Drosophila melanogaster: one gene and its partners. The protein of the gene in region 1 purifies or fractionates together with the protein of each later gene. This does not show direct contact. Each region holds a gene or a part of one and is shown in the gene's direction. Other genes may lie near its edges.

The links.
Region 2: the proteins of Brr2 (region 1) and CG1965 purify together in Drosophila melanogaster (affinity purification with mass spectrometry, with the first as the bait; one large-scale study listed by BioGRID). This does not show direct contact.
Region 3: the proteins of Brr2 (region 1) and CG4849 purify together in Drosophila melanogaster (affinity purification with mass spectrometry, with the first as the bait; one large-scale study listed by BioGRID). This does not show direct contact.

The regions. Positions count from the first base shown.
Region 1 is NT_037436.4:15,959,998-15,971,047, reverse strand, and holds Brr2 (Brr2 U5 snRNP complex subunit), read left to right. Parts: upstream 1-3,175; 5' UTR 3,176-3,295; coding exon 3,296-3,340; intron 3,341-3,436; coding exon 3,437-4,132; intron 4,133-4,189; coding exon 4,190-8,933; intron 8,934-8,997; coding exon 8,998-9,172; intron 9,173-9,227; coding exon 9,228-9,510; intron 9,511-9,568; coding exon 9,569-10,054; 3' UTR 10,055-10,212; downstream 10,213-11,050. Other genes in the region: brm (brahma), read left to right, coding at 1-671; CG10516 (uncharacterized protein), read right to left, coding at 1,280-1,422, 1,488-2,049, 2,355-2,678; CG17032 (uncharacterized protein), read right to left, coding at 10,540-11,050. UniProt on the Drosophila melanogaster protein: Catalyzes the ATP-dependent unwinding of U4/U6 RNA duplices, an essential step in the assembly of a catalytically active spliceosome. Plays a role in pre-mRNA splicing.
Region 2 is NT_033777.3:7,061,962-7,072,124, forward strand, and holds CG1965 (uncharacterized protein), read left to right. Parts: upstream 1-5,439; 5' UTR 5,440-5,548; coding exon 5,549-5,768; intron 5,769-5,826; coding exon 5,827-6,128; coding exon of another isoform or gene 6,129-6,133; intron 6,134-6,746; coding exon 6,747-6,987; intron 6,988-7,044; coding exon 7,045-7,227; coding exon of another isoform or gene 7,228-7,235; exon of another isoform or gene 7,236-7,323; coding exon 7,324-7,977; intron 7,978-8,063; coding exon 8,064-8,612; intron 8,613-8,670; coding exon 8,671-8,863; intron 8,864-8,932; coding exon 8,933-9,256; intron 9,257-9,311; coding exon 9,312-9,363; 3' UTR 9,364-9,663; downstream 9,664-10,163. Other genes in the region: Mst84B (Male-specific transcript 84B), read left to right, coding at 359-2,095; CG1105 (uncharacterized protein), read right to left, coding at 2,654-2,808, 2,917-3,759, 4,181-4,336, 4,963-5,077; Ufl1 (UFM1 specific ligase 1), read right to left, coding at 9,761-9,900, 9,955-10,163.
Region 3 is NT_033777.3:27,960,330-27,969,837, forward strand, and holds CG4849 (uncharacterized protein), read left to right. Parts: upstream 1-3,085; 5' UTR 3,086-3,224; intron 3,225-3,350; 5' UTR 3,351-3,358; coding exon 3,359-3,472; intron 3,473-3,532; coding exon 3,533-4,201; intron 4,202-4,259; coding exon 4,260-4,351; intron 4,352-4,410; coding exon 4,411-4,602; intron 4,603-4,655; coding exon 4,656-6,158; intron 6,159-6,223; coding exon 6,224-6,581; 3' UTR 6,582-6,629; downstream 6,630-9,508. Other genes in the region: CG31253 (uncharacterized protein), read right to left, coding at 1-205; CG31131 (uncharacterized protein), read right to left, coding at 1,712-2,851; betaTub97EF (beta-Tubulin at 97EF), read right to left, coding at 6,777-6,872, 6,940-7,262, 8,598-8,862, 9,331-9,498.

The DNA.
Region 1 (11,050 bases):
GGCGACGACGCCAAAATCTGGACAAGCGGTCCAAGAAGCAGATGCACAAGATTATGAGTGCGGTTATCAAGCACAACCAAGATGGACGAACCCTGTCCGAACCGTTCATGAAGTTGCCTTCGCGGCAGAGGTTGCCCGACTACTACGAGATCATTAAGCGGCCAGTTGATATTAAGAAAATCCTGCAGCGCATTGAGGACTGCAAGTATGCCGATCTCAACGAGCTGGAGAAGGACTTTATGCAGCTATGCCAGAATGCACAGATCTACAACGAAGAGGCGTCTCTGATTTACCTGGACTCGATTGCCCTGCAAAAGGTATTCGTTGGGGCCAGGCAGAGGATAACAGCTGCAGCGGATGCAGCCGCAGTGGCAGCCGGAGATAACACGGGTGAAGCGCACGGCAATGGAGGTTCGGATAATTCGGACAACGACGACGACGATGGTGGCGATGACGGCTCCGACGACGAGGAGATTGCAACCACTTCAGCGGCGGCTGTCAAAATGAAGCTGAAACTGAACAAATCTCTGGCTAGTGCGCCCGCTACGCCCACGCAATCATCGTCGAATGTGAGCAGCGGAGCGGCTACCACATCCAAGAAGCAGACGCGTCGCAAGCGCTCCCAAAAGAAGTACACTATTTCAGACGATGACGACGATGACATGGACTAGCTACCGTTGGGAGTGATCTTCAAGCGCGGATCGTCGGATGTCGAAGGCATGGGCAATTGATTATTAATTAGTTTAAGTTTTACTTTCAAGGACGATGCTTACCAAAACCCTAGCCTACGGGTTTTTTTAACCATCTAACCTATCATGCTATCACTTTTATCTATACTAATTTTCTAGTTGTAGGTTCTCGATTAAGTTTCCTATTCAATTATTTTCGCACACACCATTTATTTCTCCCAATTCTATTGATTGTATAATTATGTGCTTTAAAATAAATGCATACCTAACATAAAGTAAATCGAAAAACTTGTCATTAATGGACGGCGGATTGCTCCTTGAGAGATTGTTCAACCTAGACCAGGCTGGAATTAGTAACAAAGATCTTATTTAAATCGGTACCTAAATGAATACATCGCTGCTAGCGTATAAAGGAAATGGTTTTAAATATATCAAAATGGGAAAATTATGATGTTTCGTTTAATTAATAAGTTGTATTTTAGGAAGTCTTACAGTAATTAAAATTAGCTTCAGCATTTCTACTTATTACATTTATAACTAAGCTCCTTCAAATAAATGCATACTTAAACATATTGATATGCTTGGTAAGACTAAAGCAGGTAGTGGAAGTACTCGTCGCACATCTCGTGGACACTAGCGGTGTGCTCCTCGTCGCCGCTATCACTGCTTCGCAACGTGATTTTGTGTGCATTGGCGTACAAGTCGTCCTCATCAACAGCCGCATCGTCGGTTTCTATTAATTGAAATTGCAAAAGTGATGTGGCAGAAATGATAGTGGACGTAACTTCGTGACCTCACCTCGGTACTTTTGTTTGCGCCTCAACCGTTGCTTGGAGCTTGAGAGCACTGCTTCGTCGCCCAGATCCAATTCGTTTTCGCGGGAGTTCCGGGAGTAACGAATTGGCGGTGCCAGGAACCAGTAGGATTGCATGATGCCTTTGAGACCCGGCATTTGACGCAGTTCGGCCAATTTGAGCGGCTGCCTGGACAATGCTTGGAAAGATCGCAGCTGCAGTGTGACTGGTTGCGAAGTGCAGTTGATCAGCCTAATTACGGACTTCGCGGCTGTGGAGCAGACCATGGGATATATTTTGACATCCGGATCCGTCGGGACATTGGTGTAGGCCACTCCCAGCGATCTGCGGTTCAAATAGAACTCCAAGTGCCCACGCGTTCGATCCAAACAGACACCAATCAAGCAGCCCTGCGAGAACTTCTGGCCGTAGGGCAGTAACTCGCCACAGTGCTGAATCCTTCCGGAATACGAAAAGCCCCAGGACTGGGCATTGGTGCCCAGGGCCGAGACAAAGTGAAACTTGAACTGCCCTAGATTAACGCTTTCCGTGCCGATGCCGAACATCTAGGAAAAGTTATAAGAAAAGAAAGGCAATTATAAAGAGAACATTATTTACATTGAACTTTAGCTGGCTTATCATCTAGTTGGGGTGTCTGCTGAGATTTCCTCCTCCCGCTGCGTCTGTTATCTTATCGCCGCGTTGTAATCTGTAATCCATAATACAACGAAGCGAACAATCAAGTCGTCTCCAATGGAAACGAGCACACCAGATGCCTGGTTAGTTGTGTTCTATTTTAAGGCGGCGACTTTGAGTGACATTCATCATGCTGAGCATCCCAACTAGTTGCCAAGCCGGCCTGATAACTAACCACATCCGTGCCGGCCAGAGTCGTGATGACGCGCATCTCCCAAAAGTGCACCATGTTTGTTTTTAGGGCCTGTTCCCCTCTCACAATCGCCGTGCCCTGACTGTAGGTGGGATGGAAGATGATGTCCCGGTCGGTGACCACGGCATCCGATTCATCAGTGGCGTGCCACCGCCAGGCATTCACGTTTCCGGACTCATCCTCGCCGCATTGGCACCTGACCAGGTCGGGTATATGGCCCTTGTGGTTGGTAACCTCAATGGAGTTGGGAAACGGGCAATCACAGAAGCCGGGATTGCAGGCTTCTTGGTACGGGGGCAGCAGCATGCTGGCACTTGTTCCTCTTCACTGGTTTACCTTCGATTGCTTTGTAATGAATTGTGTCAGCCGTGTACAATGATCTCGAGCAGTCGACGGACCACAAATGTTTCCAGTTAAACCAGCTGCAGCCTCATATATAAGCACATTACTCTGATCTGACTGAACAATAAACAAAACGATGCGTTGTAAATAGACGTCGGCATCGCTGCCGACGTCGCCGCCAGTGTGACCGAAGCCGCAGTTCGGAACTTAAAATATACTAGATATATCTCAATTATGAGAATTATGGTCAAATTTATAGCAATTTCTTTTGTGGATTGCTAGTGCGTAGGAAATTTTGGTGTTTACAAAAGCTAAAAAACCAGTATTCAAATTTTAAATAGAATGTTGATGGGCTACATTTTTAAAAACTTAGATGCGCGCGCTAACGATAGGTTTCCTACAAATGGCAGCCCTGATATCGATTTTCAGTTGGCTTCGCACATATGGCATCTCTTTAGCCTTTTGACAATCTGGCAGCACGCGTAGCCACAAACAGCGGCTTTTCACTACGATATTTCCGCAAAAAGTTGTAAAATAGGTTAATAAAAGTGCTTAATACTTATAAAAACAACTAAACAGACATGGCGGATGCCGCAGCACGTCAGCTGCAATACGAGTACAAGGCGGTAAGTGTCAAATCCCGCCCGGGAAAACTTCTCCCACTCCATGCGGCGTCTCACCAGAATTTCACAAACACGTTAAATGTATTTTCCATTTTTCAGAACTCCAATCTTGTGCTGCAAGCCGATGTCCGACTCATCGAACGTCCGCGCCGCGATGAGGCCACTGGCGAGGTGTGTTCCCTGGTGGGAAAGCTGGACGGAACAAGGATGGGAGATCGGTACCAGCGAACGAAGCCGGAGAAAACGGAGGAGCGCAAGGTGAAACGTCAGAAGCGCGACGAGGCCCAGTACGATTTCGAGCGGATGAAGGGAGCCACTCTGCTCTCCGAGGGCATTGACGAGATGGTGGGCATTGTGTATCGACCCAAGACCCAGGAAACTCGTCAGACCTACGAGGTCCTGCTCAGTTTCATCCAGGAGGCTCTGGGGGATCAGCCCAGGGATATCCTGTGCGGTGCCGCTGATGAGATTCTGGCTGTCCTCAAGAACGATCGTTTAAAGGATCGGGAGCGAAAGAAGGATATAGACAGCTTGCTGGGCGCAGTTACAGATGAGCGATTCGCTCTGCTGGTTAACCTGGGCAAAAAAATCACAGACTTTGGCAGCGATGCCGTGAATGCTTTGACTGCTGCTCCCAACAACGAGGAGCAGATCGATGAAACCTACGGCATCAATGTTCAGTTTGAGGAATCCGAAGAGGAGAGCGACAACGACATGTATGGCGAGATTCGCGACGATGATGCCCAGGATGAAGGAGAGGAGGCCCGCATTGATCACACACTGCATGCAGAGAATGTGAGTAATGTAGTTAAAATTGCGAATCCCATTTCTTATTCGTGTATCCCTTCCCAGCTAGCCAACGAGGAAGCCGCAAATAATGTAAAGAAAGAGCGCTCCTTGCATCCTCTGGACATAGATGCGTATTGGTTGCAGCGTTGTCTGAGCAAGTTCTACAAGGACGCCATGGTGTCGCAAAGCAAAGCCGCCGATGTGTTGAAGATCCTCAAAGATGCCGCCGACGATCGCGATTGCGAAAATCAATTGGTGCTTCTGCTGGGCTACGATTGCTTTGACTTCATTAAGCAATTGAAGCTTAACCGGCAGATGGTCCTGTACTGCACCATGCTCGCCTCGGCCCAAACGGACAGCGAGCGGCAAAGGATTCGCGAGAAGATGCGCGGAAATTCTGCGTTGGCCAAAATCCTTCGGCAATTGGATACGGGAAAGTCAGAGGATCAGGAGGAGGGCGAAGCACGGGGAAGCAAGCGTGGCAAAGGCGATGCAGAGGATGGTGGAGCGGCGGCTGCCGGGCAGGTGGCCGGTGTGCGACAGCTACTCGAGTTGGAAGAGATGGCATTCACTCAAGGATCTCACTTTATGGCCAACAAGCGCTGTCAGCTTCCCGACGGCTCCTACAGGAAACAACGAAAGGGCTACGAGGAGGTGCACGTGCCTGCACTGAAACCCGTGCCATTTGATGCCAATGAGGAACTTCAGCCTGTGGACAAGCTTCCGAAATATGTGCAGCCTGTGTTCGAGGGTTTCAAGACCCTTAATCGTATCCAAAGTCGTTTGTACAAGGCCGCACTGGACAGTGATGAGAATATGCTGCTGTGCGCCCCTACTGGAGCTGGTAAAACTAATGTGGCACTGCTAACCATGATGCGGGAGATTGGAAAGCACATCAACGAGGATGGCACCATCAATGCGCAGGATTTCAAAATCATTTACGTGGCTCCCATGAAATCGCTGGTGCAGGAAATGGTTGGCAATTTTGGACGACGTCTTGCTTGCTATAATCTGACGGTCTCTGAGTTGACTGGAGATCACCAGCTGACCAGGGAACAGATCGCCGCCACGCAGGTGATTGTGTGCACACCAGAGAAGTGGGATATCATCACTCGAAAGGGAGGCGAGCGTACCTTTGTGAGCTTAGTCCGGTTGGTTATCATCGATGAGATTCACTTGCTCCACGACGAGCGTGGTCCGGTGCTTGAGGCCCTGGTGGCGCGTACGATAAGGAATATTGAAACTACCCAGGAGGAGGTGCGATTGGTGGGCTTATCTGCCACACTGCCCAACTATCAGGACGTGGCCACCTTCCTACGCGTAAAGCCCGATAAAGGCCTCTTCTACTTTGATAACAGCTATCGGCCTGTGTCCCTGGAGCAGCAGTATATCGGTGTGACGGAGAAGAAGGCCCTAAAGCGATTCCAGGTGATGAACGAGATCGTTTATGAGAAGACCATGGAGCATGCTGGGCGTAATCAGGTCCTGGTCTTCGTACACTCGCGCAAGGAGACTGGAAAAACGGCCAGGGCTGTGAGGGACATGTGCCTGGAGCAGGATACCCTTGGTAGCTTTCTTAAGGAAGGATCAGCAAGCATGGAAGTGCTGCGGACTGAAGCCGAACAAGTAAAGAACACAGAGCTTAAGGAGTTATTGCCCTACGGCTTCGCCATTCATCATGCTGGAATGACCCGCGTCGATCGTACTTTGGTGGAAGATCTATTTGCTGATCGGCACATTCAAGTTTTGGTTTCCACCGCCACGCTAGCTTGGGGTGTCAATCTCCCTGCCCATACTGTAATCATCAAGGGCACGCAGGTATACAATCCGGAAAAAGGACGTTGGGTGGAGCTGAGTGCTTTGGATGTACTGCAGATGTTGGGTCGTGCTGGACGACCGCAGTATGATACCAAGGGTGAGGGTATTCTTATAACCAATCACAGTGAGTTGCAGTTCTATCTCTCCTTGCTCAACCAGCAGTTGCCGATTGAGTCCCAATTCATCTCCAAGCTTCCTGACATGCTCAATGCGGAGATTGTGCTAGGAACGGTCCAACATCTCCAGGATGCAGTTAACTGGTTGGGCTACACTTATCTGTACATTAGAATGCTGAGGAATCCCACGTTGTACGGAGTTTCCCATGATGCCATCAAGGCTGATCCTCTGTTGGAACAGCATCGTGCTGATCTCCTGCATACCGCAGCTTGCTGTCTGGAGAGAAGTGGCCTTATTAAATACGATCGGAAGACGGGACACTTTCAGGTTACTGATCTGGGACGCATTGCCTCTCACTATTACCTAACCCATGAAACCATGCTGACTTACAACCAGCTCCTTAAGCAAACTCTTAGTGAGATTGAGTTGTTCCGCGTATTCTCCCTATCCTCGGAATTCCGGCATATTTCCGTCCGAGAAGAGGAAAAGTTGGAGCTGCAGAAGCTCATGGAACGAGTGCCCATTCCCATTAAGGAGTCCATTGAAGAGCACAGTGCCAAGGTGAATGTTTTGCTGCAAGCCTATATCTCCCAGTTGAAACTGGAGGGCTTTGCATTGATGTCGGACATGGTGTTTATTACCCAATCCGCTGCCCGTTTAATGAGAGCCATTTTTGAGATTGTATTGACCCGCGGATGGGCTCAATTGGCGGACAAAACGTTGACGCTCTGCAAGATGATCGACAGAAGAATGTGGCAATCGATGACACCACTTAGGCAGTTCAAGAAGATGCCCGATGAGATTGCCAAGAAGCTGGAGAAAAAACACTTCCCCTGGGGCAGGCTTTACGATCTAGAGCCACATGAACTTGGTGAGCTGATTAGAGTGCCCAAGCTAGGAAAGACCATCCACAAGTTTGTGCACCAGTTCCCCAAATTGGAGCTCTCCACGCACATTCAACCCATAACAAGGGGAACTCTGAGAGTGGAACTAACAATTACACCGGATTTCCAATGGGATGAAAAGGTGCATGGCCAGTCGGAAGGTTTCTGGGTTTTAATTGAAGATGTCGACTCGGAACTCATTCTCCATCATGAGTTTTTCCTGCTGAAGCAGAAGTATTCCCAAGATGAGCACCAGCTTAAGTTCTTTGTGCCTGTCTTTGAACCTCTGCCACCGCAGTACTTCCTTCGCATTGTCTCAGATCGTTGGATAGGTGCAGAGACCCAATTACCAGTTTCTTTCCGACACTTGATTCTGCCCGAGAAGAATATGCCACCTACGGAGCTTTTGGATCTCCAACCGCTTCCTATTAGTGCACTCCGGCAGCCGAAGTTTGAATCCTTTTATTCGCAACGCTTCCCGCAATTCAATCCCATTCAGACACAGGTCTTCAACGCAGTCTACAATAGTGATGAGAATGTCTTTGTTGGAGCACCAACCGGATCCGGAAAGATGACTATTGCAGAGTTTGCCATCATGCGCTTGTTCACTACCCAATCCGATGCCCGATGTGTATATTTGGTCTCGGAGGAGGCATTGGCGGACTTAGTTTTTGCGGATTGGCATAGCAAATTTGGATCCCTGGACATAAAAGTGGTTAAATTGACCGGCGAAACTGGAACCGATCTTAAGCTCATAGCCAAGGGACAGCTGGTGATCACTACTGCGGATAAGTGGGATGTGTTGTCTCGCAGATGGAAACAGAGGAAGAACGTACAATTGGTGAACCTGTTCATTGTGGACGAACTGCAGTTGGTTGGTGGCGAAGAAGGTCCCGTTTTGGAAATTGTATGCTCCAGGATGCGATACATTAGCTCGCAGATTGAGAAACAGATCAGAATAGTGGCGTTGTCTGCATCGCTAACGGATGCCAGGGATGTCGCCCAGTGGCTGGGCTGTAATCCCAATGCCACTTTCAATTTCCACCCCAGCGTGCGTCCCATTCCGTTGGAGCTGCACATCCAGGGCTATAATGTCACTCACAACGCCACCAGAATTGCTACGATGTCCAAGCCTGTTTACAATGCCATCCTCAAGTACAGCGCCCACAAGCCGGTGATTGTGTTTGTCTCGTCCAGAAAGCAGGCCAGGCTCACTGCAATTGATGTTTTGACCTACGCAGCATCGGATTTGCAACCCAACCGTTTTTTCCATGCTGAGGAGGAGGACATCAAGCCGTTCCTCGAACGAATGACGGATAAAACTTTGAAGGAGACCCTAGCGCAAGGAGTGGCCTATCTCCATGAGGGCCTATCCGCCTCAGATCATCGCCTGGTGGAGCAGCTGTTTGACTCTGGCGCCGTGCAAGTAGCTGTTATCTCCAGAGACCTTTGCTGGGGCATGAGCATCTCCGCTCACTTGGTGATCATCATGGACACACAATTTTACAATGGCAAGAATCATTCGTATGAGGACTATCCCATTACAGACGTGCTGCAAATGATTGGTCGAGCCAATCGGCCGAACGAGGATGCGGATGCCAAATGCGTGCTGATGTGCCAGAGCAGCAAGAAGGACTTCTTTAAGAAATTCATCAACGAGCCGCTGCCCATCGAAAGTCATTTGGATCATAGAATGCATGATCACTTTAACGCCGAGGTGGTCACCAAGACAATTGAGAACAAACAGGATGCCGTTGATTATCTCACCTGGACGTTCCTCTACAGACGATTGACCCAAAATCCCAACTACTACAATCTGCAGGGTGTCACGCATCGCCATCTCTCCGACCATCTTTCGGAGTTGGTGGAGAATACGCTGAGCGATCTAGAACAGTCCAAGTGTATTAGCGTGGAGGATGATATGGACACGCTGCCACTCAATCTGGGCATGATTGCTGCCTACTATTACATCAACTACACAACTATCGGTATGAAGCATTAGATTTAAGTTTAGGCAATTGTCATCTTCATTTTCCTATCATTTTTTCCCAGAGCTCTTCAGTTTGTCCCTCAACAGCAAAACAAAAGTGCGGGGCCTGCTGGAAATTATTTCATCGGCAGCTGAGTACGAGGATGTTGTGGTCAGGCATCATGAGGAGCAGGTTCTGCGCACGCTGTCTCAGCGACTGCCCAACAAACTCACAGGACCCAATGAAACGGCTCCAAAGTAAGCAACCCATACATTTAGATCTTAAAAAGAATTTTACCAATGTTATTTTTAGATTCAATGATCCGCACATCAAGACCAATTTGCTGCTTCAGGCTCATCTTTCGCGATTGCAACTGGGACCTGAACTGCAAGGCGATACGGAGCAGATACTGAGCAAGGCCATCCGCCTCATTCAGGCCTGCGTAGATGTGCTGAGTTCAAATGGCTGGCTGTCGCCGGCTGTGGCTGCCATGGAGCTGGCTCAGATGGTCACGCAGGCCATGTGGAGCAAGGACTCGTACTTGAAACAGTTGCCGCACTTTAGTCCCGAGATTGTCAAGCGGTGCACAGAGAAGGTGAGAGTAACAACAAGTGAATCTCTAGGATTATCTCATGTTTCGTCGTATATTTCAGAAAATCGAAACCGTTTTCGATATCATGGAATTGGAGGACGAGGATCGCACTCGCCTGCTGCAGCTCTCCGATTTACAAATGGCCGATGTTGCTCGATTCTGCAACCGTTACCCCAACATTGAGCTGAACTATGAGGTGGTGGACAAGGATCGCATCAACTCAGGATCAACCGTTAATGTAGTGGTTCAACTGGAACGTGAGGATGAGGTCACTGGCCCAGTCATTGCTCCATTCTTCCCGCAGAAGCGCGAAGAAGGATGGTGGGTCGTCATAGGTGATCCCAAGACCAACTCCCTGCTCTCCATCAAACGGCTCACGCTGCAGCAAAAGGCAAAGGTCAAGCTGGACTTTGTGGCACCTAGTCCGGGCAAACACGACTACACTCTGTACTACATGAGCGATTCCTATTTGGGTTGTGATCAGGAGTACAAGTTTTCCATCGAAGTGGGTGACTTCCAGTCGGAAAGCGAAAGCGAGTCAGATTAGTTTTCTTTAGGATCATCAGTTGGGCATGTTTGCACAAATGAAAATCAATCATTTTACAATTTACGCGCATTAATTGTAGCAATAATAAATTCGTGTACTACTTTAGTAGAAACCAAATTGTACAAGGATACACTGAGGATAATTATATAAAGTAGTACAAAAAAAAAAAAAAACAAAATAAAAAAAACCTTTCAACTTTCTTTCGCTGGTTGATACCAAGAATCTAAATATTTTGTAGTCAACAGTGCCAATTCTTATATTGTCTTAAGCTTTTAAATTTCGTATGGAACAATTCAAGTTTGTTGTAATTTGTAATCTGGATCATCAAAATGCAACCGTTTAGATTTTAAAAAAATCATTCAAATTATTCATTCAAATTCAATTCAATCATAAATATTTATTTGGATTTTTTAGATATTTGCACATAGGATTGCTGACAAATAGATTAACTTGGAGGTATTTTCCCTGTATGGTGAACTTGGCTTTTAGCGGCTGACAGAAACTGCCGATCCATGGCTACTGCCACGATTGGCTCCTCCATTAGCGAAGCTGTTCGTGGAGCTAAAGTTTATTGTCTGTCCATTGGGAAGATGGTAAACCTGACTCAGCGAAGCACCTGCCGCATTATTGGATCCAAAGGGGCTGGTGTTCTGGGACTGAGTGGCCGTGCTTGCGGAGGAGGCACCGAATGATCCATTGGCACTCTGCGACTGGAAGCCCTGAGCCTGCCCACTGGCGGCCGAGGATCCTGAGTTGAGTCCATTGTTGTAGTTGCTGTGGGCAGCTCCGTTGGATGCGGCCTGCTCCTGGTTGTAACCACTGGGTCCGAGTGGTCCCAGCGGATTTAACTCGACGTTGGCATTGGCATTGCCGCCATCTGGTCCGGCACCAACATCAACACCCGCTTTGGTTCCCCCAGCGCCGGCCGATGTACCTGCCTGAACTTTTCCACCTTGATTACCGCCGAATCCGGGATTTCCTCCGAATCCTGGGTTA
Region 2 (10,163 bases), on another chromosome or scaffold:
ACCGTATATATCGTATAGTCAAATGCAACCTTATGCCAAATAAGACTTTCTTGAGAATGAGTAGCTTAACAATAAAAAACCTGGATTTTCAGTATATGCCGTCATGATTTGTCTTAGCCGTCCTAATAAAAAAAATTCAGTATATCGACTCCGCATAAGAATATTATTATTTTAATAATAGTCTACTTCACTATTTCACACACTTACTGTGATAATTACGTCAAATACAGGCCCATTTACTTCCCAGTTTTCGGAACATAATGGCGCAGATCGGGTCGAAATCCTCTTAGTTTTTGCATTTTAACCCGATTTGTTCTTAAAATTATCTGTTAAATTTTGGAACCAAAGCATAAAAAACATGTTGAAAAGAGCCTCGCTGGCGTTGAGCCACTACCCTGATGCCTGTTTCCGTGTCTGCAATTGTAGCAGGTGTCTCCGGATGTATCACATAGTGAAATGCATGAAGGATCTGAATCTTGTGCAGAAATCAAAACAGGACTATGGGAGAACGCCGAAAGAGCTGCAGAGCGTGTTGATTTGCCAGGAAGGCCGGTTTTCTAAACTTACTCATGCTTCTGCAAAAAAAATGTATGATTCTCGTCTTTTGTCTTCAGGTACTTGTGATACACTTAGCCATCGACTCGATCAGCCGTTGAGAAGTGCGTTCCTGGAAGACCTGGAGAAGCGGCTGAACCAGAGGATCTTGAGAAAGGATTTGTTGGATGGTGAGATGTCCTTCAAGCGAGAAATTTTCTGTGAAACCGCCAGTTCCGCCGAGGGGTTTGGGAAAGAAAAGTGCAGCAAAGGGTCGAGTGGGGGTAAGAAGAAGCAGAAGTGTGGCAAGGGTGGTGGAAAGAAAGGCGATGATGGAGATGATGACATGGAAAAGCTTAAAAAGAGGTGCAAGAAGTTTAAGGCTCAGAAAAAGTTAAACAAGTGCAGGGAAAAGGTCGCAATGAAAAAGTGTAAAAAAATGGCCAAGGTGAAAAAATGTCAGAAAAAGAAGGAAATAGAGCAATGCATGAAGTGCGTCAAAAAAGAAAGAGGAGATTGTGAACAGGAAGAAGAATGTAAGAAGAAATGCCCCGACGAGGAGGAAGAGTTGGAAAAGCTAAACAAGGCCATCCAGAAAATGGCCGATCAAATGAATTGCGAAAAGCAGGCGAAAATAGAAGCCATCAAACGAGCGTGTCGAGAAGAAAAAGAAAGGCAAGAGTGCGCCCGATTGGCTGAAGAAGCCCGAAAGAGAGCCGAAGAAGAAAGGAAACGCGAAGAAGAGGAGGCCAGGAGAAGGGCCGAAGAGGAAGCCAAAAAAGGGCCTGAAGAAGATCTTTGCGAATTAAAGAGACAGTGCGCAAAGATGGCCAAGGAAGCGAGAAAGAAGGCGAAGGCAAAGCAGATAAAACTTAGGGGCCTAGCCGCAAAAGCCCGGGCCAAGCAAATGAAAGAGCAGTGTAAGAAAATGGCGGCGATTCAAAAGTGCCGCAAGCAGGCGAAAAAGGATAAGGCCAACAAGGAGAAGGCGGAATGCGAAAAGGCCGCTAAGCTGGAGGCGGACCGACTCAAAGCCTTGCGAGAAGCTGAGCAGGACAGAAAAAAGGCTGAAAGCGCAGAGAAAGCGAAAAAAGCAATGTGCAAGAAAATCAACAAACAGCAAAAACCAAAAGAAGTTGATGTATGCGCTAAATACAAGTTCAAGGAAGCAGCCCAAGTTAAGAAGAATGCTAGCAAATCTGCTCCAGTAGCTAAAACGGATGTCAAAGAGAACATCAAACAGGAGGTAAAGAAGGAGGTGAAGAAGGAGATCGCTAAAACGCCATCTCCGCCTCCTGCCCAACCACCAAAAGCTGCTAATCCATCCCCTCCACCATCTAAAGCCGCACCACCCTCACCACCGAAGCCGAAAGCCAATCCCGAAGGACTTTTTCAGATATGCAAAAAAATAGCCGAAAAGAAGCTTAGACAAAGGAAAAAGAAGATGAAGATCCTCAAGGCCAAATGCAAAAAAATAGCTCTGAAGGAACAGTGCAAGTGTGAGAAGAAAGCAAGAAAGGCCAGGGAACTGAATGAATACTGCAAGAAAAAGAAGAAGTAAATATGGAACGATAGCACCATCATTCCAAGTTCTTAAATCTCCCAATGCTCCGTATAAAACAAGTTCCTCAAGGCTCAACACATTTTTGGCTCCCAGGATTTGGCTATGCCCATGTATCAAACCTTCATTATCTTTTGTGTTTTATTACGATTATAGTCGTACATCAGTTTTAGGCACTATTGCTGGCTTAAAAAAAAACAGAAAAAATTAAATTTGAGCAGTTTAAATCGGAATTGACAATTGTGCGTATTTATACGATTATTAAATTAAACACAGATGCAGTCAAAATAATAAAGACCCAATTCTTTGTATTTACTGTCCGAAAGCTATTTAATTATAAACAGAAGTTAAGCATTTCAAAAACTTTGTATAGGTAGACCTTTTTTATTTTGACTGCACCTGTTTATGCTTTCTATTTGGACGGAAAGCTAATATTTCATAAATGCAAAGCCGATAAAAATTGCGAAAGCTAACCCTCCAGAAACAGAGACAGCCAGAAGAAAATAGTTCGACATCAAAGTTTAAGAATATCATTGTGGGTCTAGCTTAGAGATTCAATCACTGGCTAGCTGGCGGTGCTGTGGCATTATTAAACTGGAAAGTCGGATACCGAGGTGCGAAGGCTCCGTCGCCGATCATCTGCGTATGCTCGGAGTCGTCCCTACCGGCGATCGTTGGTGCCCGGTACTGTGTCTCCACAAACTGCGGTGGCGCTGCAAAATGAAAATAGAATATTTTAATAAATAAAGATATATAACCCTACTAAGAAGCTTTTATAATTTAAAAGAAAATCCACAAAACTCCATAATTTTAATACTCACGTATATTAGGATACAGTGAACCACCACCAGTACTGTCAGCCACGTTCCAGCCTAGAGCACCACCCACGCCATCGCCGCCAGGAGGGCTCGCCGGGCTCACTGGCTGTGTGGGCGCCAGCGATGGATCCTCGGACTGAACCGCCGACGGAGCATCCGTAAATTGAGTAGGTGGCCGTACGCCAGCCAATGGAATAGTGCCCAAGGTGATTGGCACCTTGCCAGTGAGATTGCGGTGCGGACCGCTCACCTCGCACTCCACATGCAGGTCGTAGTCCAAAGCGATAATCCCGCAGTTGAGGAGGTTGGTCGGTGGCAGCGCCGGAATCTCCATTTGTTGCGTAAACGTGCGAGACTCGCCGCCATTGACTGGGCCAACACTTAAGTTGGCTATGATCACCTTGGACTCGCGCTTCTCGCTCCGTGGCTGGTTTGTGTGGAAGGTGACCAGCTTACGCAGTTCAAACTTCACTGCCGTAAGATTTACGTTGCTGGTGTTGTCCACCTCGCAGGTGATGGGCAGCACCTGCCCCGAAACGAATCCTGTTTGCGGGATGTTCGTGATGACAGCCAGCGGTCCTGAGCGACAGCAAAAACAGCAGAATGACTTTTCTAGCTCGAGCTTGAATGGCTCCTTGACTCGAGGATTGAGATTTAGATCAACGGGCGCTATTACTGTGAACGCCATCTTCATGTCCTGATCGAATTTCCACGGACGATCAAGCGTCACCTTGATGGTATAGCGCACATGGCCAAATTCGCCCTCAAAGGATGAGGGTAGATTAGGCGGCAGAGCACAGGTGAATGGATAAGTGTGAGTGCCAGGCGGTAGTTCCGTCTCAGAGCCTGCAAAATCATACATTTAACTTTTAGCATTTTAAAAAGGTCACTTATAGCTTATTATGTTTTCAATTCTTACGCGCAGAGGAAGGGTCTGTCAAGGTATATTATTTAATAAAGCTAAATAAAAACATTAAATTATTGTAGTTTCAAAAGGAGAAGTTATTAATGCTATAAGGTGTATAGTAATTACAAGATTTAGTTATTATTTTATATAGAGCGAGGAAGTGCAATCCCATTTATTCGATTCATATAAGGACAAATTTAATTTTAAACAAAAATCTTCTTGGCCAATTCTTACACCATAGAATACAAAAATTTATGCTTAATAATAGACACTTTCAATAATTAAATCCTCCAATTCTTTTCAGATAAACTAAGGTCTGGCAACCGGGGAGTGAATTCCCGGTCTGTTTTTTGTACTTACTGTTTTTGCCGCCCAGCAGATAGTACTGGATCTTAAAGTACTCCTCATGCCCCTTCAGTTGGGTGACCTCGTTCTCGGTCTTGCCCTCGCTGGTGGTTACGCTCTTCTCCTCTGACCACTCGGTGTTGGCTTCTCCCAGGAACCGAATGATAATACCTACGAGAAACAAGTGGCTGTATTTACGGAATGACAATCGACGACGTCACTGTGGCGCTTTAATTTTAGCTATAAATAATATGAAAAGCTTTCTAAGGCATACTCAACGGATGACATCATCGCTACCAGGCAGCATCTGTCTCCCGTGTTTGGTGACCTCAAAATTTGATTATGGTGGAATGTTTGCCACATAGGTTACATGCCCCCGTCAAATGTACTACATATTTATTTACTTTCTTTTGTATTCATTCACACTTGGAGCTATTTATAGTTGTTATCGCCCAACTGAAAAGAGGAGAAAGTGCATTTCTTTGGAGGGTTTAACAACCGCCAGCTTTCTGAAAACAAGGTCGTTTAGGCACCGAAAGAGCAACCGACATTTGTGGGTGGTGCGCCGGCTTTTTGCGTCAGGATTTTAAGAAGTTAGCAAGGAAACTACCAACGACAGCCAGTGAACATCCTGCACATTGAAGACGAAAGTGCTATGTATATTTATTTACTAAATTTCCAATTAATCATTGACTCTTACACAGGTGTCGTCACTCCTATGAGTAATAGTAAGCAGCTGGGGTTTTAATTAGCATTCTCCAGCGCTGCCCACAATTGGGACTTGGATTCGCACTTACCTCGGACTTTTTTGGGCGAGTCGAACGTAAACTTCACCTGGCCGTTGACCGTCTGACCGGCGTAGTAGGTGTTCCACGGGTTGTCCAATTGCAATTCACAACCTTTAAGGCCCATGTTAGAGATTCTGTGACTCAAGGCACCAATAAGTTAACGACTTTTCGGTCTGTTTTGAAACGCCCTGCGGTCGCCGAATTCAGAGATTAGAGATGGCCGTTGTCGGTATCTAGGGATGAAAAGTCATCTAAGCTCTTGCCGATATTTTAATAAGACCAGTTTTATGTGTAGCTGCCCTGGGTATACAAATTAATGTATTTATCACATTTTTATTTAATTGTTACAATAGTTTCAAAATTTGTAAAGCTATTCATATTTTCAATACAGAAAAGTTTTGTAAGTGCTAGACCGAGGACCGAGAATTAACGTTCCAGCCCTGCTCGTGACTCACGTGAGCACGAGAACGACATCGAAAGATTTTCATCTCTATTACAATACGACAGCAAGAAGAAGAGATCTTGCGAAAATTCGCTTTTCTTCCGATTTTTCATTGATTAAACAAATCGCAGAGTAACAACAACATCGTGGAAAATGTCGCTTTTTCGCAAACCGAAGAAAATTCAGCGACGCGTGTTCTCCAGCAACGCTGACGAAGAGGAGGACGGCGCATCCTTGGATCCGGACGCCGAAATGGAGGCGCCACCGCCTCCCATAATTTCGGGCAAGAGGGAGAAAGAGAAGAGCCGGAAGGCCATAAAGCCGCAGGAGGACAACAGCAAGCCAAAGGCGCTGCTCAGCTTCGCAGATGATGGTGAGTGATACCGGAATATAAAAAGAGTATGGAGCCAAAATCCCCAATTCTTTTGCAGAGGATGACGGCGAGGTGTTCCAGGTGCGAAAGTCGTCGCATAGCAAGAAAGTGATGCGCATGCTGGACAAGGAACGCCGCAAGAAGAAGCGCGAGGAACGGGCGGAAAACAGCGGACATCCCGGGGGCGAAAATGGTAGTACACAGCATTTAGAGTCGTCCGGTGGCCCATCATCGGGTCCCCCGAATTCCAACTCGAATCCTGCCAATGCTGGCAGATATAAAAGTGCCAGCGATCAGAGTAAAAGTAAAAAAAGTGATAATCATATGATCCAAACCGAAATACGCACAGACGACTTTGTGGTAAGGTTATTATTATTCAATTTCTTCTACAATAATACCGTTTAACGAAATTTCAACATCAGAAATTACATTGAATTATCGTAGAACAATTAGCAGCAAAGATTAGGCTGAATGAGTTTAAATGTGTTATTAAATTAGTTGGTTTTTCTGGTCTGAAGTGCCAATTTTAAAATATTAGTAGCTTAGACGTTGATTTGCTTGGCGTTTTAACTGGTCAGTGATGGGAAGTGTCTAGGATCTGCGATCCAACTATCACTCAACATAAAATTTCCAATTATAATGCGATCTTTAAGTACTACTACTGTAACTATGACCACGAATTAGAAAATTTATCACAGAACATTCTAACTCATTCTTTCTTTGATAATAAATTGACGCATACAACTTGACCTTACCAGAAGAAAACTATTTAAATATTATGTAACATTCAAAGATATATTTTTTGAATTACCAAAAATCAAAGCCATTGCTAACGTAGTCACATAAATAGTAATTTTCCCACCATTGATAGTCGCATGTCTTCCCTTCCACAAAAGCAGCATGAATACCAATGCTTCACCCTAATCGAAGTCCTTTAGGAATCCACAATAATATAAAACTTACTTATCTTGTCCCCAGCTAGTGGTAAAGAAATCTGAGACTCCCGAGGCAATTCTGAACGGTAGAGCTGCCCTTTGCGCTGGACGGGAGGATATGAGCGATGAAGAAGACCAGCAATCCGAGGATGGTGGCCATGACAAAACGCGTCACCGTTTCTCCAAGCCAGAACATTTGAAACAGATGCTCGAAAGTGGTTCCATTCCGGATGCAGCAATGATACACGCTGCCCGAAAACGTCGGCAAAGGGCTAGAGAACAGGGTAAGATTCGACACGTTGCCACACTAGCGATGGCTTACTCTTTGTGTTATATTCCAGGTGCAGGCGACTATATACCTATTGAGGAGCCCAAGGAGCCGGCCAAGCTAAGCAACCGTCTGCCCTGCGAAGATGTTGAGGGTGATCAGTCGGATGATGAAGAACGCATGGACATGAACGATATTACGGGACGCAAAGAGCGTGAAGAGCGGCGCGAGCAATTTTATGCTGTCGAAAATGATTGTATGTAGAGGGACCAAGTCCGATTTGTGACCAGAGCCAGGCTAATTACAGGTGAAGTTTTTAGACTATTGTTAACCTTTGCTCACTCCTCTGCAGCCACCGACGGAGATTCAGATCGCGAGATGAACGAGTGGGAAAACCAGCAGATCCGCAAGGGTGTTACGGCAGCCCAGTTGGTCCATTCTCAGCATGAAACAGTGCTCTCCCGTTTTATGATCAAGCCTGCCCCGTCGGGCATCGGAACCGGCATGGACGACGGAGATTCAACAGCGGCACAGTCCACGTCCACTCTGCTGGAGCAGGCCTATGCTAAAAATGCCCTTGAGCGCACCAACTTAGCCGCAGCAGTTCGATCATCCGTCAAAACCAAGAAGGAAAAGGCCAAGGCTACAGCATTGCGAACTCCTCAGGAAATCCTAGCTGCCATTCAATCGCGTCTTAGCGAGCTTAAAGAGCGGTCGGCTGATCACAGCGCTAGTATGGCCAGGATTAGTACAGAACTAAAGGCATTAAAGCTCCAGCAGTTAGAGTGCCAGCAGAATGCACCGACAGCGGCCGCAAAGTACAAGTTTTACCAAGAAATAAAGTGCTATGTGAATGACCTTGTCGATTGCCTCTCGGAAAAAGCGCCAGTAATATACGATCTTGAGAAGCGTGCACTGCAACAGTATGGCAAAAATCAACGTTATTTGGTAAACAGACGGAGGCAGGATGTACGTGATCAGGCCAAAGAAATCGCCGAATCAGCAAGTATGAGAATTTTGTTTTTAGTCTTGTCTTAGGGAAAATAATTCGATTATTAAACTATATTAATATGTTCAATCTTCTGCTTTTAGAACCTATAACAGCTGCCTCCCGCCGAACACCTGATTATGAAGAACAAGTTCGCCGCGCAGCGGAACGGGAGGGTCGGAGGACACGTCGCCGATGCGAGCGCGAGCGCAATGATCTGCTCTCGTCCCACCTGGATGGCATGTCAAGCGACGATGAAATTGCCGATCAACAGCAGGAACTGAGTGTGACTACGATGGCGCAGATAGAATCACAGTCGGTGGACGCCCTTGAAGACGTTACCGACGACTTTAGCAAGATCGAGCTAATACTAATGAAGTTTTTTGCCTGGCGTAAAACTGACATGTCGTCATACCAGGACGCATTTGTTAGCCTGTGCCTTCCAAAAGTCTTGGCTCCGCTGGTGCGACACGAACTTGTTCTTTGGTCGCCACTGCTGGACGTGTATGCGGATATAGAAAATATGCGTTGGTATCAGGCCTGCATGCTTTATGCCTCCCAGGCAGATGAAACCGTGGAGCAGCTGAAAATCGATCCGGATATCAATCTGGTGCCGGCGCTCATCGAAAAGATTGTGCTGCCCAAGGTGACTGGTGAGTTTTACACATTAAAAAAAAACGCGAAGCGGGGTAATAAATGAATGTTTTTTAGCTCTGGTCACAGAATGCTGGGATCCATTATCTACCACACAGACCCTGAGATTGGTTGGGTTCATCAATCGATTAGGTCGCGAGTTTCCCTTGAGCGGCACAAATAAGCAGCTTAACAAACTGTTTGAATCCATCATGGAACGCATGCGGTTAGCCCTAGAAAATGATGTATTTATACCCATTTTTCCAAAGCAGTAAGTATATTATTCTTGCAAAAGATTGGCCATCATGGTCTTAATTACCGCTTTTTGTTTGAACTTTAGAGTGCAAGAGGCGAAGACCTCATTCTTTCAGAGGCAGTTTTGCAGTGGTCTAAAGCTGTTTCGAAATTTCCTAAGCTGGCAGGGCATCCTGGCTGATAAGCTACTGCGTGAGCTGGCGATTGGAGCCCTTCTGAATCGTTACCTGTTATTAGCTATGCGAGTCTGCACGCCAAACGATGCCATAAACAAAGCTTACATCATTGTAAATACCCTGCCTACAGTCTGGTTGTTACCGAACAGCGAGACCCTCAAGAACATGGAACTTTTTATAGGATATATTAAACAAACATTAGAGAACTGTGATGCAAGCAATCCAATCTTTATGTAAGTAATGAAACTCACTTTTGAGAGTTAAAAGCAATCATTTCCCTTTTTGCAGGCAATCCAGCGATAAAGCCAAGCAAATACTTCAAAGACTACATAGTTTATAAAGTGTAGGGACAAACATCGCTCACATCAATCCTAACAATCAAATACTCGTTATAAAGAAATGCACAACTTATATCGGTCTGTTAGAAAATATTGTATATAAGTAGCTTCGTAAGAGATTTATTTAATTCAAGCTTGAGCTTAACAAACTAAATGGAGAACAGCCCTTCCAAACTAATCAATTTTAAATCGTTTTTCCAACAACCCAAACCTTCGAAAGTGATAAAGCTAGGAACTCTGTTTAAGGCTCATCGTTTTGTAACTTCATGCATAGCAGTAATAAAAACAATTTATAAACTATGAAAATTTAACAAATGCAAAATCTATTGCAGACCAGAACCAATTTACATAGACGCAATTTAATGACATGGGAAGAAAGATTGGAATATAGGAGCATCATCAATCAGCCTTAGAAATCGATGCACGTGAAAAGTTTTGAGCTAGCTCCACCACTTGATTCTGCATTGTCTGCAAATGTTCGTTGGCCAGTTTTGACTCATTGCTATCGGGAATGGCCTGCAGAACTTGCAGGACCAAATCTGAAATGTATGTAAGAATTAGGTAAAACGCAAATTATGGTTGCAAAAACTCACCGTGATACCGAAGCAACAGAGCATTCTGGTCCTCGTTTAGTGAGCCGCGAATATGCTGCAGTATGGCAGAAACGAATTTTCCGGACGCGTGCAAAATGCTACCAGTGATCGTGGTGAACAAGATCAGTGCAGCCAGGTGCAGCAGCAGTGCCGGCTCGTTGCACTCTAGTAGCTGCTTCTGCAGCTTCTTTTTGTGGTCTGCGATGAGC
Region 3 (9,508 bases), on another chromosome or scaffold:
TGTCCCAAAAATCTCCATCGAACGGATTGGTAAAATTTACGATGCGCGGCTTGTAGGGTGTGTAGATTTTGGCTTTGTAAGGCTTGTGGTTCTTGATGTATTCCTTGGCTATGCTAATCCACTCCTCGCGACCGAGAATATCGTTTAAATTTCGGCTTGAGGCCACAAAATGCGCCATTAAAAGAAGCAAACAGAATTTTCTCATTATGATGCTGATACCTTCGGTTGACACTTTCGACTAATTACCTTTGGCGACTGCAGTGCAATATAAACGCAAGGGTCTACCTACGTTTCAACGCGTATTTTAGCTACCTGCTTTCTTGGCAAAAACGTTAATTAGCCCTAATGAACTGGAAAATTCAAATGTTGCCGCCAGGGCTGCAAGCGCTTACTTTATTTGTGCTGGCAATGCCGTAGGTAATGCCGGCCGCTTAACAGCTGAGTGTTTTTCGGGGAAGAAGAAGAACAGCGTGTTTGCAGTCCGCGTTTTTGTGTAAAAATTGTGAATAATTATATTATTTGCAGTTTTCTTACGTTTTAAAGAAGAATTTAGCAATCAGAAGGTCCTGTAACAATTGGTAAGTCGGTAAAAACAACAAAAAACAAGAGTAGCATAAGTTTCGAGTCACCGTGAAAGTTTTAAATTTTCTAAGACGCCACCGGCAAATTTTGAATGAAAGTATTGATATATATATTTATTTTAGGAAAAACCATGGATTCCGATTTGTACGATGAGTTTGGCAACTATATTGGCCCCGATTTAGACAGCGACGAGGAAGATGAGCAAAGTATTTATGGGCAACCCGATGTGCAGGATGACCCAGAGGTATAAACGTGCAAAAAATAAAATAAAACTTATAATTAATTTATGGTGTTTCATTTAAAGGACGCCATGGACGAGGACGAGGTGGAGCCACAGGAGGACGAGGACAAGGAGGTGACCGCCGTGGTTTTGCACGAGGACAAACGCTACTATCCGTCAGCAGTTGAGGTCTACGGCCCGGATGTGGAGACCATTGTCCAGGAGGAGGACGCCCAGCCGCTGGACAAGCCGCTTATAGAGCCAGTGAAGAAGCTCAAGTTCCAGATCAAGGAGCACGTGGGCATCTTGACAGATGCACTGGTGGCCATTAGACGGACGAGGTGAGTTGGTCGCAGGCTCAAGGAAACCAATAGGCAGGAGAAACGCCGCGAGTTTATGGCGCGTAGGGAGCTCTCCAGGCCGAGATGTATTCCGTATCGAGTGGCAAACGATTTGGTCTGCCCGTCGCTGCTTTTAATTGCATTCTGAAGGATCTGACGGAACTGCTGCACTTCCTCCTCCGATAAAAGAGGGCTAAAGTCAAAAGAAACAACCTGTTGATTGGGTTTTTATTGGTTTCTGCCCGCCTCACCTGTGCTGTTTGTAAGGATTGGCTAGAATATTGCGCAGTTTGGGCAGCAATTTCTTTTTGCCCTTAGCTTCTTTCTGTTTTATGCTGGACAAACTCATGTTTACGATATAAACTAATAAAAAATAAAAAATTTCTGCTGAAAAATCAAACAACAATGTGTTTGGCTTTTGGCCAGTGTGACCGCGTTTCTTAGTTTAAAATAAGCCATAGCTTAAATCGCGTTGCCAATTGCTTTACGTTTTTATTTAAATTAAAACTCTTAATTTTTGCTTCTAAAAATTTTTAATCAAACTCTTAATTTTTATTTGCAATCATTTTCAGTACCAGTAAAGTTCCGGCTCCGTGTCCGAAGAGTACTTCAATTTTCTCGGTCTCTGGCGAACGTAATCTTCGACGAAATTCAATTGCCTTGGTGTTGTGGTTTCTACTTGAGTTTCTACTATTTCCGTTGTTGTTAAATTAAATCCAAATGGTGTTGATAATGTAGAACTTTCCTCTTCGGTGCTGTCAATCACTGCATCCAGATACGACGTGGTAGTTTCCACGCCCGGAGTCGTGGCAATGATTTCCAGCAAGGATGTAGTAGATTCCTGGGTTTCTGTGGTTGAAAACAATTCTTCTGTTGAAGTTTCTGCTGTTTCAGTTGTAGTTTGATCTGTGGATAATGCAAACGTGGATTCGTTCGGTTCTGTGGTAGAATCAGCAGATTCAGTCGTTGATTCCGGCAATTCTGTAGTGCTTGGATTGATTTCTATTTCTGTGGTAGTTTTTATTAGTTCTTTCTCTGAAAATTCAGAACTTAAAGTAGTCGTTGATTCCGGAAATTCCGTAGTACTTGGCATAAACTCTGTTGTTGTTGATTCCTGCAATCCTGTAGAGCTCTGAATGGTTTCTGTAGTAGTTTCTTGCCATCCTGTAGATAAATCTGGATAAATTAACGTTGATTCAGCATATTCAGTACTGTCTGAATTGCTTTCTGTCGTTGAATCTGCAGCTTCTGGACTCGAAGTTGTTGTGGAATATAGGGCTACTGATTCAGTGGCATCTATAGCATCTGTGCTGGTGACTTCCGGCCAAGCTGTTGTCGTGGAATATAAAGTATCCGTGGTTGAAGTTACATAACTAGATTCGGTGGTTGAATAATCCACCGCCGTAGTTGTAGATTCCTCAGTGGCACTTTTCTCCGTTGTAGTAGATACTTCCCCAGTGAAGTAGCCAGTAGTCTCCTGCGGATTGGTGGCCACCGTAGTTGTGTCCCAAAAATCTCCATCGAACGGATTGGTAAAATTTACGATGCGCGGCTTGTAGGGTGTGTAGATTTTGGCTTTGTAAGGCTTGTGGTTCTTGATGTATTCCTTGGCTATGCTAATCCACTCCTCGCGACCGAGAATATCGTTTAAATTTCGGCTTGAGGCCACAAAATGCGCCATTAAAAGAAGCAAACAGAATTTTCTCATTATGATGCTGATACCTTCGGTTGACACTTTCGACTAATTACCTTTGGCGACTGCAGTGCAATATAAACGCAAGGGTCTACCTACGTTTCAACGCGTATTTTAGCTACCTGCTTTCTTGGCAAAAACGTTAATTAGCCCTAATGAACTGGAAAATTCAAATGTTGCCGCCAGGGCTGCAAGCGCTTACTTTATTTGTGCTGGCAATGCCGTAGGTAATGCCGGCCGCTTAACAGCTGAGTGTTTTTCGGGGAAGAAGAAGAACAGCGTGTTTGCAGTCCGCGTTTTTGTGTAAAAATTGTGAATAATTATATTATTTGCAGTTTTCTTACGTTTTAAAGAAGAATTTAGCAATCAGAAGGTCCTGTAACAATTGGTAAGTCGGTAAAAACAACAAAAAACAAGAGTAGCATAAGTTTCGAGTCACCGTGAAAGTTTTAAATTTTCTAAGACGCCACCGGCAAATTTTGAATGAAAGTATTGATATATATATTTATTTTAGGAAAAACCATGGATTCCGATTTGTACGATGAGTTTGGCAACTATATTGGCCCCGATTTAGACAGCGACGAGGAAGATGAGCAAAGTATTTATGGGCAACCCGATGTGCAGGATGACCCAGAGGTATAAACGTGCAAAAAATAAAATAAAACTTATAATTAATTTATGGTGTTTCATTTAAAGGACGCCATGGACGAGGACGAGGTGGAGCCACAGGAGGACGAGGACAAGGAGGTGACCGCCGTGGTTTTGCACGAGGACAAACGCTACTATCCGTCAGCAGTTGAGGTCTACGGCCCGGATGTGGAGACCATTGTCCAGGAGGAGGACGCCCAGCCGCTGGACAAGCCGCTTATAGAGCCAGTGAAGAAGCTCAAGTTCCAGATCAAGGAGCAAGACATGCAGGAGACCACCTACGACATGGAGTTCATGGCCGATCTCATGGACACTCCGCCGCTTATTCGCAACGTGGCTTTGGTTGGCCACCTGCACCACGGCAAGACCACCTTTGTCGACTGCCTCATCCGGCAGACGCATCCGCAATTTGAGACCATGGAGGAGCGCCAGTTGCGCTACACGGACACCCTGTTCACGGAACAGGAACGCGGCTGCAGCATCAAGGCCACGCCGGTCACACTTGTCCTGCAGGATGTCAAACAGAAGAGCTACTTGCTGAACATCTTCGACACCCCGGGGCATGTCAACTTCTCGGACGAGGCCACCGCCGCCATGCGAATGAGCGATGGTGTCGTGCTGTTCATCGATGCCGCCGAGGGCGTCATGCTCAACACGGAGCGACTGCTCAAGCACGCGGTGCAAGAGCGCCAGGCTATCACCGTTTGCATAAACAAGGTGAGGGTTTGGCCTTAAGGTGACACTAAACTTTCTAATGGTTTCCTCTGACGTGCAGATTGATCGCCTCATCCTGGAGCTGAAATTGCCGCCCCAGGACGCCTACTTTAAGTTGAAACACATTGTGGAGGAAGTCAATGGGCTGCTGAGGTGATTACGTGATTCATACTCAACACTAATGATTTTACTAATGTGTAATTTTCTTACAGCACCTATGGCGCTCCAGATGACAATCTCTTAGTTTCGCCTATTTTGGGCAACGTGTGCTTCGCCAGCTCGTTGTACGGATTTTGTTTCACTCTGAAATCCTTTGCCAAGCTGTATGCAGACACCTATGAGGGAGTGGCTTACCTGGACTTTGCCAAGCGGCTCTGGGGTGACATGTACTTCAACAGTAAAACGTAAGTGCTGCCTAAATATCCAAATCATTTGCTAATACCAACTATTTTAATAGGCGCAAGTTCTCGAAGAAGCAGCCGCACAATTCGGCACAGCGCAGCTTTGTGGAGTTCATTTTGGAGCCCATGTACAAGCTGATAGCCCAGGTGGTTGGCGATGTGGACACCACTTTGTCGGACACTCTGGCCGAGCTGAATGTGCGCGTCTCCAAGGAGGAGATGAAGTCCAATATAAGACCACTGCTGCGTCTCGTCTGTAACCGCTTCATGGGCGACTGCAGCGGTTTTGTGGATATGTGCGTGGAGCACATTAAATCCCCTTTGGAAAATGCCAAGCGAAAGGTGGACCATATATACACTGGACCCAAAGAGGGTGACATTTACCGGGATATGATATCATGCAACCAATACGGCACTCTGATGGTGCACAGTTCCAAGATGTATCCCAACGACGACTGTACCTTCTTCCAAGTGCTGGCGAGGATTGTCTCTGGTACTCTACACGCTGGCCAGGAGGTGCGTGTCCTGGGAGAGAACTACACCTTGCAGGATGAGGAGGACTCTCGCATTCTGCAAGTCGGTCGTCTGTGGGTATTTGAGTCTCGTTACAAGGTGGAGTTAAATCGTGTACCCGCCGGAAATTGGGTGCTCATCGAAGGCATCGATCAGTGTATCGTTAAGACCTCCACAATTGTGGATATTAATGTTCCAGAAGACCTCTACATATTCCGACCACTGAAGTTCAACACCCAGAGCATTATCAAGATTGCTGTGGAGCCAGTGAATCCATCCGAGCTTCCCAAGATGTTGGATGGCCTCCGCAAGGTGAATAAATCCTATCCACTTCTCTCCACTCGAGTTGAAGAATCCGGCGAGCATGTTATTCTGGGCACTGGCGAGCTGTACTTGGATTGTGTCATGCACGATCTGCGGAAGATGTACTCCGAGATCGACATCAAAGTGGCGGATCCCGTCGTGGCTTTTTGCGAAACAGTTGTGGAAACGAGTTCCCTGAAATGTTTCGCCGAAACGCCGAATAAGAAAAACAAAATAACCATGATCTCGGAGCCACTGGAGAAGGGACTGGCCGAGGACATTGAGAACGGAACCGTCTGCATAAACTGGAACAAAAAGCGCATCGGCGAGTTCTTCCAAGTCAACTACGATTGGGATCTGCTTGCGGCGCGTTCCATTTGGGCCTTCGGTCCCGACTCCACGGGTCCAAATATCCTGGTCGACGACACCCTGCCCTCGGAAGTGGACAAGAACCTGCTGACCGCGGTTAAGGATTCGATTGTGCAGGGCTTCCAATGGGGAACGCGAGAAGGGCCGCTGTGCGAGGAGCCAATCCGTAATGTCAAGTTTAAGATTCTCGATGGCGTCATCGCCAACGAGGCGTTGCATCGAGGCGGTGGACAGATCATTCCAACAGCCCGTCGTGTGGCATACTCGGCGTTTTTGATGGCCACCCCACGTTTAATGGAACCATATCTATTTGTGGAGGTTCAGGCGCCGGCAGATTGTGTATCCGCTGTCTATACTGTGCTGGCCAGGCGCAGGTAAGTTTTGCTGCTCATGTTTCCGTAAGAGAATGCCTCTAAATTTTATATAATCTATTTTGCAGAGGCCACGTAACGCAGGATGCTCCCGTATCGGGTTCTCCCATATATACGATCAAAGCCTTCATACCCGCCATTGATTCATTTGGATTTGAGACGGATCTCCGCACGCACACCCAGGGCCAGGCCTTCTGCCTTTCGGTGTTCCATCACTGGCAGATAGTGCCTGGCGATCCCCTGGACAAGAGCATCATAATCCGGCCACTGGAGCCGCAGCAAGCATCCCATTTGGCCAGAGAGTTTATGATCAAGACGCGTCGCAGGAAGGGTCTGTCCGAGGACGTGTCCATCAACAAATTCTTCGACGATCCTATGTTGCTGGAGTTGGCACGCCAGGATGTGCTGATCAACTACCCGCTTTAGACTTCCCACAAATCAGGAATCGGGAAAACAAATAAAACATTTAGACATACTTTCCGAATTTCAATTGCGAACTTTAAAGGGAGTAGTGTTTTTTTTTACTATATTTACTAAATATTTATTTGAAGCCTTTTCGGGACAAATAATTTACAAAATAGTATACAGAAAACAGCTACAGTTGTGATAGTTTCTAGGACTTTACTCGCCATTGCCGTTCTGCAGGACCTCCGACTCGTAGCCTTCCTGCTCGGCCTGCTCGTCATCGAACTCCACTTCGTCGTCGGCGGTAGCCTCCTAAAGGAGGAAACCAATGGAAATCGTTTTTAGAGATACTTTGCAAGGATATGGAGGGATCGCTAACCTGGTACTGTTGGTACTCGGATATCAGATCGTTCATGTTGCTCTCGGCCTCGGTGAACTCCATCTCGTCCATGCCCTCGCCGGTGTACCAGTGCAAGAAGGCCTTGCGCCGGAACATGGCAGTGAACTGCTCGGAGATGCGCTTAAAGATCTCCTGGATGGCGGTCGAGTTGCCAATGAAGGTGGCGGACATCTTGAGCCCACGGGGCGGGATGTCGCAGACGGCCACCTTGACGTTGTTGGGAATCCATTCGACAAAGTAGCTGCTGTTCTTGCTCTGCACGTTGTACATCTGCGTGTCCACCTCCTTCATGGACATGGGTCCTGTTAATTATTGAGAGAGCGTTGAAACAAAATTGCCTTCGTACAATCTTCCTGTGCGCATTTAAACATTTACATCAAAAGACAAGTTCGCTTTGATGCGCCGGCGGAATCCCCAAATCCCTGAATATGAAATACTAAATGGCTTCCAAGTTCTGCCTGCGCACCTGGCCGGGCACCTGCACTGGGATCTCAGCTCGGAGCTTGGGAATGGAAACAGTGAAAAAGTCCCAGGAGGTAACTAAAAAAGTTGTTTAAATTCCTGCTCGCTGGCATTTTTTCCGCACATTTTTGTGATTAATTATTTTGCAAGTATTTCTGGCAGTCGGTCGGAGACGATAACGAATCCTGAGATGGTGACGCCGGATCTGGGCTGAACCTGGGCTAAGCTTGAGTGCGGGTGCGCTGGAACGCAGTGCAGGCCAAGTCACGTTCGGCATGATTAGTTGGGCCTGGGGGCCGTGTCAGGCGGCGGTCGCAATTCCCCAATGGATCTTGAAAGTAAATTTCTAATTACGCGCGTTTTGCGAGTCATCAGTCAAAAGCAAAGGGGCCAAAGCGGCGCGAGCGCACACAAGGAATAGCAAATGAAATATTATGCGGCACACTTTTGGGCGCCGCATCGCAGTTTATTAATTTAGGAATTAGCGCGAAAAAAAAAAAATGCGAAGCAACCTTTTCGGTGGGCGTGGCGAGGGCGGCATGCCACGATGCCATGGCTAACAAATTTGCGCTACGTGCGCGTTGACGGATTGCAGCCTTTTTAGCCGCCAGCCAGCGGGCATTAATCATTTTTAGTGGCGCCCATAAGTAGTAGGCCCAGTGCTCGGCTTTCGCTAATAAAATCGTCGCCAAAGCCAAGCCCCAGGAGTCCAAGGTGTTGGCCAGGGGCGGCTGTGTCGTTCTATTCTAAGGGGGTGTCCTGCAGATGCGGCTCAGATCTCTATCTATACGATGTCTTCCTTGTCAGACAGTCCTTTGGTTTGGTTTGGTAATACTACCACTAGTTTTGGTAATTGCTTAGTTTTCAGCCTTTCAATTTTTTTCTTATTCTAAAAACCGCTCCTTGCGGATCCCTTGATCCGCCCCTGATGGCTCGACTACGTGCCTGCGGGTCCGGAAAAGCGGCGGACAGGTGCGCCGCCGACTGCCCATGACAAAGTGACAAAGTTGACTGGGATAAGCCGGTGTGGGGGCTCCTGAATAAATGAGCGGATGGATGAATGAATGGATCCCTGTGTTTTCTGGCTACGCGTGAAAGTGTTTAGGGCTTCTTGTTAAATAACTATTTTTCTTTTCCCACCCCGGTGGTTTCATTCATCAAACGGCAGGACTCACCCCGGAAGATGCAGGCCACGGTGAGGTAGCGTCCGTGCCGGGGATCACAGGCGGTCATCATGTTTTTGGCATCGAACATTTGCTGGGTCAGCTCGGCCACCGTGAGGGCGCGATATTGCTGGGATCCCTTGGCGGTCAGCGGAGCGAATCCGGGCATGAAGAAGTGCAGACGCGGGAAGGGCACCATGTTCACCGCCAGCTTGCGAAGATCAGCGTTCAGCTGGCCAGGGAAGCGCAGGCAGGTGGTCACTCCGGACATTGTGACCTGGTTGGGTGAGGAAAAGCTACATTACTGTCAGAAAAAAATTACAGATTACATGGACTTCAAATTCTGTTCTTTTGATTTGATTGTGGGAAAGGTAGGGTGGACTTATTGCTCCTGGTGTGGACATCTGGTCATCATTATCCTCATCTTCATCTTTGCTTCACGTTAATGCTAATGTCTTGGCTACTCACTGACACCAGGTGGTTGAGATCCTGGTAGGTGGGCGAGCAGATGCGCAAGCTCTGATAGCAGATGTCATACAAAGCCTCGTTGTCGATGCAGAACGTCTCATCGGTGTCCACAATTAGCTGGTGCAGCGACAACGTGGCGTTATATGGCTCCACCACCACCTCAGACACCTTTCCGCCATTGATTTCGATTGGAGAGCAGAAGGAGTAGGAGCAGGAAACGGGAAAATGGGACAGACAAACAGAGGATGCATTAGATGGATTGACTAGGGGTACTCACGGAGACGAGATGGTTCAGATCGCCGTAGGTGGGCGACGATAGCTTCAGCGTGCGGAAGCAGATGTCGTAGAGAGCCTCGTTGTCAATGCAGAATGTCTCGTCGGTGTTCTCCACCAGCTGGTGGATGGACAGCGTGGCATTGTACGGCTCCACGACAGTGTCGGATACCTGGACGCAT